Macaca fascicularis: one gene and its partner. The protein of the gene in region 2 purifies or fractionates together with the protein of the main gene of each other region. This does not show direct contact. Links are inferred from orthologs where the notes say so. Each region holds a gene or a part of one and is shown on either strand. Other genes may lie near its edges.

What was found.
Region 1: the proteins of S100A4 (region 2) and liprin-beta-1 purify together in Homo sapiens (co-immunoprecipitation; 3 studies listed by BioGRID and IntAct, with this or other methods). This does not show direct contact. The link is inferred for Macaca fascicularis from reciprocal best matches to the Homo sapiens genes S100A4 and PPFIBP1.

The regions. Positions count from the first base shown.
Region 1 is NC_088385.1:30,431,231-30,435,038, forward strand, and holds part of liprin-beta-1, read left to right. Parts: intron 1-503; coding exon 504-626; intron 627-1,441; coding exon 1,442-1,567; intron 1,568-2,155; coding exon 2,156-2,344; intron 2,345-3,808. UniProt on the Homo sapiens protein: May regulate the disassembly of focal adhesions. Did not bind receptor-like tyrosine phosphatases type 2A.
Region 2 is NC_088375.1:107,616,131-107,620,535, forward strand, and holds S100A4 (protein S100-A4), read left to right. Parts: upstream 1-1,430; 5' UTR 1,431-1,481; intron 1,482-2,465; 5' UTR 2,466-2,480; coding exon 2,481-2,621; intron 2,622-3,353; coding exon 3,354-3,518; 3' UTR 3,519-3,652; downstream 3,653-4,405. UniProt on the Homo sapiens protein: Calcium-binding protein that plays a role in various cellular processes including motility, angiogenesis, cell differentiation, apoptosis, and autophagy.

The DNA of each region.
Region 1 (3,808 bases), on a different chromosome or scaffold from region 2:
AAAGATGAAAAAAGAAAGCCAAGCCTTGATCATGTCCGCCAATAAGCATCATTTACTCTTCGCTGTCTGCTGAAAGGAAATAGAGAGGGCAGTTTAGCCAATGCCTAAGTGCTTTATCCACAGATAAAGTTCTCAAAACTAAAGAGGAAAGAAATAAATTCTCTGTTTGTAGTATGTGCAGATCAAGTCAATGCAGATCACCTTTTGTAGTGACCCAGCAAGTGCTTGTCAAACTGTGGTTTTCAGAGCCCTGGGGTTCTACAATCCTATCTCAGAGCATCAGGAAGAGAGAGAAACAGGTGGAAGGCAGCTTCATTGGCAAAAAATACTAATTTGGGGTTTTGGGGAAGATTTTGTTCCAAATGGGAAAGTGGGTTCTGACAAGCCCTTGGGGCATATTGGTTTGAGGGGCTCTTCGTTTACTCCAGTTTTCTGAGATTCCCAAGAACGTCCCCCTGCTACAGGCCAGCACAGTGAACTCCTCCTTTTGTTCTTTTTCGCAGGATGATTTACTGTCTTTGAAGGTTGTGAGTGTGCTACACCACCTCAGTATCAAAAGGGCCATCCAGGTCCTAAGGATCAATAACTTTGAACCAAACTGTCTACGGAGGCGGCCATCTGATGAGGTAGCGTTTTAAGATTGAGGTTTATAAGCATGCACTTCCAGGCATGGGACTGTCCATATGTCAAAACTAAGAGCCATTTTTCTTGGAGCTTGCAGGAAAAGTCTTAAAATTCAGCCTCATTTACTTCTTAGGCTTTTTCTGTGTTCCTTCCTTTTCTCTCCATGATGGTTCCACTTGTATAACTAAAGCTAAGGGTTCATTTTCAGTTATGCTTCTTCCTTTTCTTGGGTGTATTTTTTTTCCTGATTCCCTAATCCGCAGAGATAAATATCACTATAAAGACTTCCTTTTCTGGCCAAATGTAGTGGCTCATGCCTATAATCCCAGCACTTTGGGAGGCCAAGTCATATGGATCACTTGAGCCCAGTAGATCAAGACCAGCCTGGGCAATATAGGTAGACCCTGTCTCTACAAAAATAATAGTAATAAAAAATTAGCCAGGCATGGTGGGTGCACGCTGGTGGTCCCAGCTACTCAGGAGGCTAAGGTCGGAGGATCTGCCCAAGCCTGGGAGATGGAGGCTGCAGTGAGCCCTGATTACACCGCTACAACTCCAGCCTGGGTAAGAGAGTTAGACCCTGTCTTAAAAAAACAAAAACAAAACAAAGAAACAAAAAAAGTCCTTTCCTAAACCAATGCTTTATTAGTATATAAGAAAACTTGAAACACAAACTATGACAGAAATTCTTTAAAAGAGAATTTTTCCCTTTCTTTATGCATTTAGTGGGATGTTGAGTAACTGTACCCCATGGAGCAGACTTTTTAGACAGAAAATGCAATTTAATACTTAGGATCTTGGTTGTGTGTTCCCACAGAATACCATCGCCCCCTCAGAAGTTCAGAAGTGGACTAACCATCGAGTGATGGAGTGGCTGCGCTCCGTGGACTTGGCAGAATATGCCCCCAATCTCAGAGGCAGCGGTGTCCATGGTGGGCTCATGGTAAAGCTCTGATTTAATTTCAAACTGACTTACTTTGTTTCCTTTAGTCTAGTGAGTAGGATAGTATCAATTTTTGCTTATCATAATCCTAAAGTCATCTGACGCAACCCTCCTGCCCTATTTCTAGTAAATCTTTACTTTCAGAGTATTTGTATTGATATCTTATAACTCTGGATTGAATTTAAAGCCGGTTCTCTTTTATTGTCCTCTTTCATGTCAAATAACATGTAGCTTCTTCCTCTCATATGATCATGTTTGAAAACCCCTGCAAGGATGCAGATTGTATTTCTGCACATTGATATTGCATAAGGAGTTGGCTGCCACGGACAGCACCCCAGAGAGGTAGAGGACTGATATTGGGATGCCAGAATCCTGGATTTCAGGACCAGCTCTATCACTCACTAGCTTGGGCAAAATGGAGAAAAGATATGTAAATTAAAGATCAAAGTCCATATGGTGTCTACCTCACCAGGCTGTTGAGAGGATCATTGGAGATAACCTAAGAGAAAGAGCTTTGCAAATTATAAAGCACAATACAAACATGTATGATTTGTGGTGACTTTTGACAAGCTTATTTTTTTTTAACAGGTTCTAGAGCCTCGTTTTAATGTAGAAACAATGGCTCAGTTATTGAACATCCCACCCAATAAGACTTTGCTGCGAAGACATTTGGCCACTCATTTCAACCTTCTGATTGGGGCTGAGGCACAGCACCAGAAGCGAGATGCCATGGAGCTGCCGGATTATGTACTTCTAACAGCTACTGCCAAAGTGAAGGTTGGTTCAGGCTCATACAGTTTAATAATTGCTTGGCGCAAAGGCAACATTTTGTCTGTTACCTGTTTATTCTGTTTTCTGGGGTTTGCCAAGTTTTGTGGATGAGTTCCTTACCAGCAGATGCAGGAATCCTCAGCGCTTAGTTGTCTTGGGAGAAAGATGTTGGCCGAGAGACAGTTCACAGATAGCAGAGAGCTTTATTGAAGGGAAATAGGGAGCAAAGAGCTTATTGTAAGAAAAAAAAAAAAATACAGGGGCTGATCCTGCAGGGAAAACAACAGGGTCGCAGTAGCAGTGTTTATGTAAAGGGACAGTACACTCCAAAACCCGAGGCACAGCGGGCTGCTGAAAGAGAAAAGAGGCCAGGAGTTGTGCGTCGGGTTTGTATGATGTCCAGTTTTTTCTTGAAGCTCTCGCCTCTGTGTTAAGTCCCTGCCTTTTTTATCTCGTTTTCCTGCTCCTGCCTTAAGTCCTTGCCTTTTCCCTGCCTAGTTCCCATCCTAGGTTTGTGGGACCCTCCCTTACTATAGTTGGTGCACATGCGTGGGCTGGATGTTGGCTGCAATTCTACCTAAAGGCTGCATTGCTCATTCCCGCCGCCCCCAGGAAGGTTGTATAACAGTCAAATCTATACGTACTGTGCCTGCATTTCTCTTAGGCATTCTCCTTTGCCCTCTTGCCTTCTTTATCGGCATGCAGCTAGCTAAATTCTGGCAGGTGAACTGCAGAGTGAGTGATTATTGAGCATCTTAAGGGATGTTCCTTTCTCCACAGGTATTTCTCCTCCTCCTCCTCGCTGCTCATAGGGAGCATGCATGTTTTGGGTGGTTTCTGGGGTGTGAGATTTTTCCGGACCTCTCTTTTCTCAGGGGCTTCCCCTCATGTCTGGCTATCTGCCTACTCTAACAAATTGAAGAAACAGTTGACCCTTGAAGAACATGAGTTTGAATTGCACAGGTCCACTCCTACTCAGATTTTTTTTTTTTTCAAGCAAATGTGGAGGGATGCAAAACCCACATCTAGGGAGGCTCGACTTTTTAGGTACACGGGTACGCTGGACTTGAGTATGTACGGATTTTGGTATACATGGGGATCTTGGAACTAATGTTCACTGAGGGACAACTGAGTATATATCTTTTAAAAGTATAATAATTAAGGGAAGGTACCCAGATAGCTCAGGCAGTAGAGCATCAGACTTTTAATCCGAGGGTCCAAGGTTCATGTCCCTTTTTGAGTGCTCCCTCTTAGGTGGGCATGGTGGCTCATGCCTGTAATCCCAGTGCATTGGGAAGCCAAGGCAGGAGGATCATGTGAGTCCAGTAGTTCAAGGCTGCAATGAGCTATGATTGAGCTATGAGCATGCCACTGCACTCCAGTCTGGGCAACAGAGCAAGATTCTGTCTCTAAAAAAAATGATAACGCATCATATTGGCTTCCACAATCCATGTATTGGCAGTGCAGAGA
Region 2 (4,405 bases):
GCAGGGGGCTCCCCCAGGGAAGTTGCAGACCCTGCAGAAATGCAGTGGCCTCCAGGGTCCAGCAGGAGGGCGTGGGGCCAACACAGGGACCCCTGTCCTCCCTTCCTCTCTCTCTCTCTCTCTGGGGTCTTTGAGAGAGGACCACCTGAGTTTCCCCTGGGACTCAGTGCTCACGGTTGGATGACCTGAGGAGGGTGGGGCCGTGGGCACAGTGGGGGTGTTTGTTCCCTGCCCCGGGCTGTGGGAGCCCAGAAAGCAGCACTAATGGGATTAGGGTGTCTGAGGTGTTTACTCCCAGCCAGGAAGTTGTGCCCTGTGTGGAGGGGGAAGGGGATAACTTGAGGCAGCCCCTATCCCTGAAGCCGCAGTCCCCTGAGGGCCTTAACCCCCTACTTCTAACTCTCACTGAGTTTGTAGCCCACCCTGAGAGGTTGGCTCGAATTCTAACTCCCCTATTTCGTGCCATTTCACCTCTAACTCTCCACCCCAACCTGGATTCTTCATTCCTGACACTCATCCCAACTTGAAATGGCCCCTCCTGATACCCTCTCCGAACCTGAGATCTATCCGTGAGCCCCCACGTGTCACTGCCACTCCATACTCCATCACCACCTCACCCAGGACCTTTCCCACTGACGTTCCTGAAGGGGTCCCAGAGCCTCATTTGGGTGTGAACCTGTTCCCCTCCAGATCCCCCAGCCCTGGCCCTGAGCCTTACTTGGCATGGCAGACAGTACTGGGCATGGAGATCCCTGCCCCATTTTTGTTTTTGAGTCTTTATTTTTTTAAGAGACAAGGTCTGCTGTGTTGCCCAGGCTGGAGAGCAGTGGCTTGAGCATAGCCAACTGCAGTCTCGAACTCCTGGGCTCAAACGATCCTCCTGTTTCAGCTTCCTGACTAGCTGGGACTACAGGCTACAGCCACGCTGCCCGTCTAATTAAAAACAAATTTTGTTTTTCCTTTTTATAGAGACAGAGGTCTCACTATGTTGCCTAGGCTGGTCTTGAACTCCTGGCCTCAGGCGATCCTCCCATCCCCCTCCCTAGCTTTTGTGTCACCACATTTCCAGGGCAATCTCCCATCTGTCACCCACCACCCCCTGCATCTTCTTTCCTAGCTCCCTGATGGAACTACTCCCTCCCTGTCCCCCATGCTCCAGACACAGACTACCCCTTCCTCCACCTCTCTAAAACTCAGGCTGAGCTATGTACACTGGGTGGTGCCTATTGCATCCAGGTCCCTGCTGGTAACTGCTGGGGCTTACCCGTTACCCAAACAAGAGGCTTGGTTGCAAGGCTGGGCTGGTGGAGGGTGCTGTGGCACTTAACACATCAGCCCACAGCAGGAAGGCAGTATCCACTCTCCCCTGTCCCCTGCTATGGGCAGGGCCTGGCTGGGGTATAAATAGGTCAGACCGCTGGGCCGTCCCCATTCTTCCCCTCTCTACAACCCTCTCTCCTCAGCGCTTCTCTCTTGGTTTGGTGAGTTGTGTTGGCCTGATTGGCATGCAAGGAGTGTCAGAGGCCAGGGCTGGGGCAGGAGAAGGGGAAGCTGGTGGGGGCTAGATGTGCTAAAGAGATCCAGATGTGAGACTCTGATGTGGAACTCTGGGTAGAGTGTGTGCGTGGGTGTGCATGTGTGTGGGTGTGCATGTGTGTGGGTGTGCATGTGTGTGGGTGTGCATGTGCACACACACGTGCACGTAAGAGGGAGGAAAAAACCAACAGAAAAGCGAGCAAGTGGCTAGATTTGAGCTCTCCAGGTGCTTCCGAGATGTGGGCTTGCACATGCTGTTGCTATAGTATGTGTTGGTATGTATGTGCCCATGGGTATCTGCACTGGCTCATGTTTGCTGGGTTGCGCACTCGGGAGCAGGAAGCAAAGGAAAGGCAGAAGGCAACTGTGGGCGTTCGTCTGGTGGTGTGCCCCATGAGCCTCTGCCCTGCACGCAGCAGCCCAGCTCAAGAAGGAGCGTGGCCTCTGCACCTTCTCTTCCAACCCTTGCCTCTGCCATCTCACTTTGCCCCTCCCTACGCTGAGCACTAAGCAGCTGGTTTTTTCCGCTGCAGGCCCCTGGGCAGGCCTCCAGCAGCCGCACCCAGTGCTGGGAGGGAGAAGAATGGCCAGGGCGGGGCCTTTGTGGCTGAGCCGTGGGAGTGGATAGACTGAGCGAGGGATGGAAAAAATGCTGTTGTTGAGGCGAGGCCTGGGAGGCCCTGGGAGCTTGCTGCCTGAATCTCCAGAGCCTGCGCAGTGGGTTCTGCAAATGTTCACTGCCCAGAGCATGTGTTCCCCACTGTGCACACCCTCCCCGCCAGGTGCTGGGCCCACTGCTCTGGGCTCCCCCAGGGAGGGAGCAGAGTCTCGCCAAGTGATCCTGGAGGGATGGGAGGGGAGCCTGGCATTCTGAACACATCTCTGAGGGGTGGGGTAAATAAGAGGGTCTCTGTGCCTCCTGCTCCCAGATCCTGACTGCTGTCATGGCGTGCCCTCTGGAGAAGGCCCTGGATGTGATGGTGTCCACCTTCCACAAGTACTCGGGCAAAGAGGGTGACAAGTTCAAGCTCAACAAATCAGAGCTAAAGGAGTTGCTGACCCGGGAGCTGCCCAGCTTCTTGGGGGTGAGTGGGTAGTGCTTGAGTGTGTCCCCACGTGGGGCATTTCCCACAGAGGAGGGCAGCAGTCTTGATCTAGAGCATTAGCTACAGAGGGCATCTATCAGTGGGGTGACTGCCTGGGGTGGAAACACATTGAACACCACCGCTCACTGACTGGCCCCATATGCTGAAAGAGGGCTGAGAATGAATGTGTCAGACACTGCCAGATGCTTTGCACAACTTAACTGAAGGGAAGACTAAGCTCAGAGTGCTAAGTAACTTCCCAAGGTGGTCAGCGTACACAACTGCCATCTGGACCAGGACTGTCTGACTCTTGCCATCACGCCAACAGTGGACACTGTTTGAGTTTCTGTTTGGCTTGTAGATGTGAAGACACAGATGTGGAGATGATCACAGGCCTGCAGACATTCCCCTCAAACACTAACAATGTATATTTGTATCAAACATAATACAGTTTACATATTGCTTTCATGACTATTACTACCTCATGGGATTATTAGAGCAACCTTGGGTGAAAATGTAGTGGTTCCGTCATTTTTCCATTGCACCAGGTACTCAGACTTCCTTATCCAAGGAGTACCTTCTCCATCCTAGCTTAGCCTTGAGGGTTGGAGTTCCAAACTGGACCTCCCAAAGGAGCCTCCCTGAACTCTGGTCTGGCAGTAGAAACTGGGTCTGGTCCTGGCTCTCCCTACTGGGCTTCTGTTTTCTATCTGTAGCCTCTTCTCCCTCCAGAAAAGGACAGATGAAGCTGCATTCCAGAAGCTGATGAGCAACTTGGACAGCAACAGGGACAACGAGGTGGACTTCCAAGAGTACTGTGTCTTCCTGTCCTGCATCGCCATGATGTGTAATGAATTCTTTGAAGGCTTCCCAGATAAGCAGCCCAGGAAGAAATGAAAGCTTCTCTGATGTGGTTGGGGGTTCTGCCAGCTGGGGCCTTCCCTGTCGCCAGTGGGCACAGTGCCCCACCCTGGATCCTTCAGACACGTGCTTGATGCTGAGCAAGTTCAATAAAGATTCTTGGAAGTTTTGAGGCTGATGGTTTGAGAGACTCTGGGGGCATGGGTTGGGGGCTGAGAGAGATGTTGTGGGGTGGTGGTGGGGAGAGCTGAAGTTTTATGGAGAGCAAACCAGTGAAGTCAGGGGAGGGATGCAGGATGACTATGAGTGTATGCACAGGCAATAAAGTTCACTCAGTGAGGTCAAAGCTGAGAAGGGGACCCCATAACCACCCCCTTGTCAAGGTTTGGAAAGCTCCAGCTGTGGGATCTCAGCCAGCCCACTTACCCCTCCCACCTCTCTCCAACCTTGCCTCTGACAGGATCTTGAACCGAGGCTGGAATTGAAGGTCACATCTGTTCCTGGCTGGGGTCTGGAATGGAGTTTGGGTGTCCTGGGAGGAAGTCAGAGGGAAAAGAATAAGACTGAGCTGCAGGGAGGAAGTACTTAGGTGACAGTGGGATGGGGAGGAGGGCTGGCACTTAGTGCTGACATTTACAGTCCAGGCTCTATCCTGCCACCCCCTTCCAGATCCCTGGCTTCAAACCACAGGGATGGATTAGTCCTTTCCTGTCTGTGGTAGGATCAGGGAAGGCAATGTGGAGGGAGACCCGGCTGTTTGCAGCAGCATGAGAATATAGGCATTCTCGAATCCACCGTCTCTGCCACAAAGGTCCCTGGATGAGATCTGTTATCAGTCAGGAATCAAGCTCCTTCAGGGAAGGACAGGGGACCTCAGAAGAGATGAGTGGGGGTCAGTGGCTGGGGTGGGAGTGAGGCAAAGG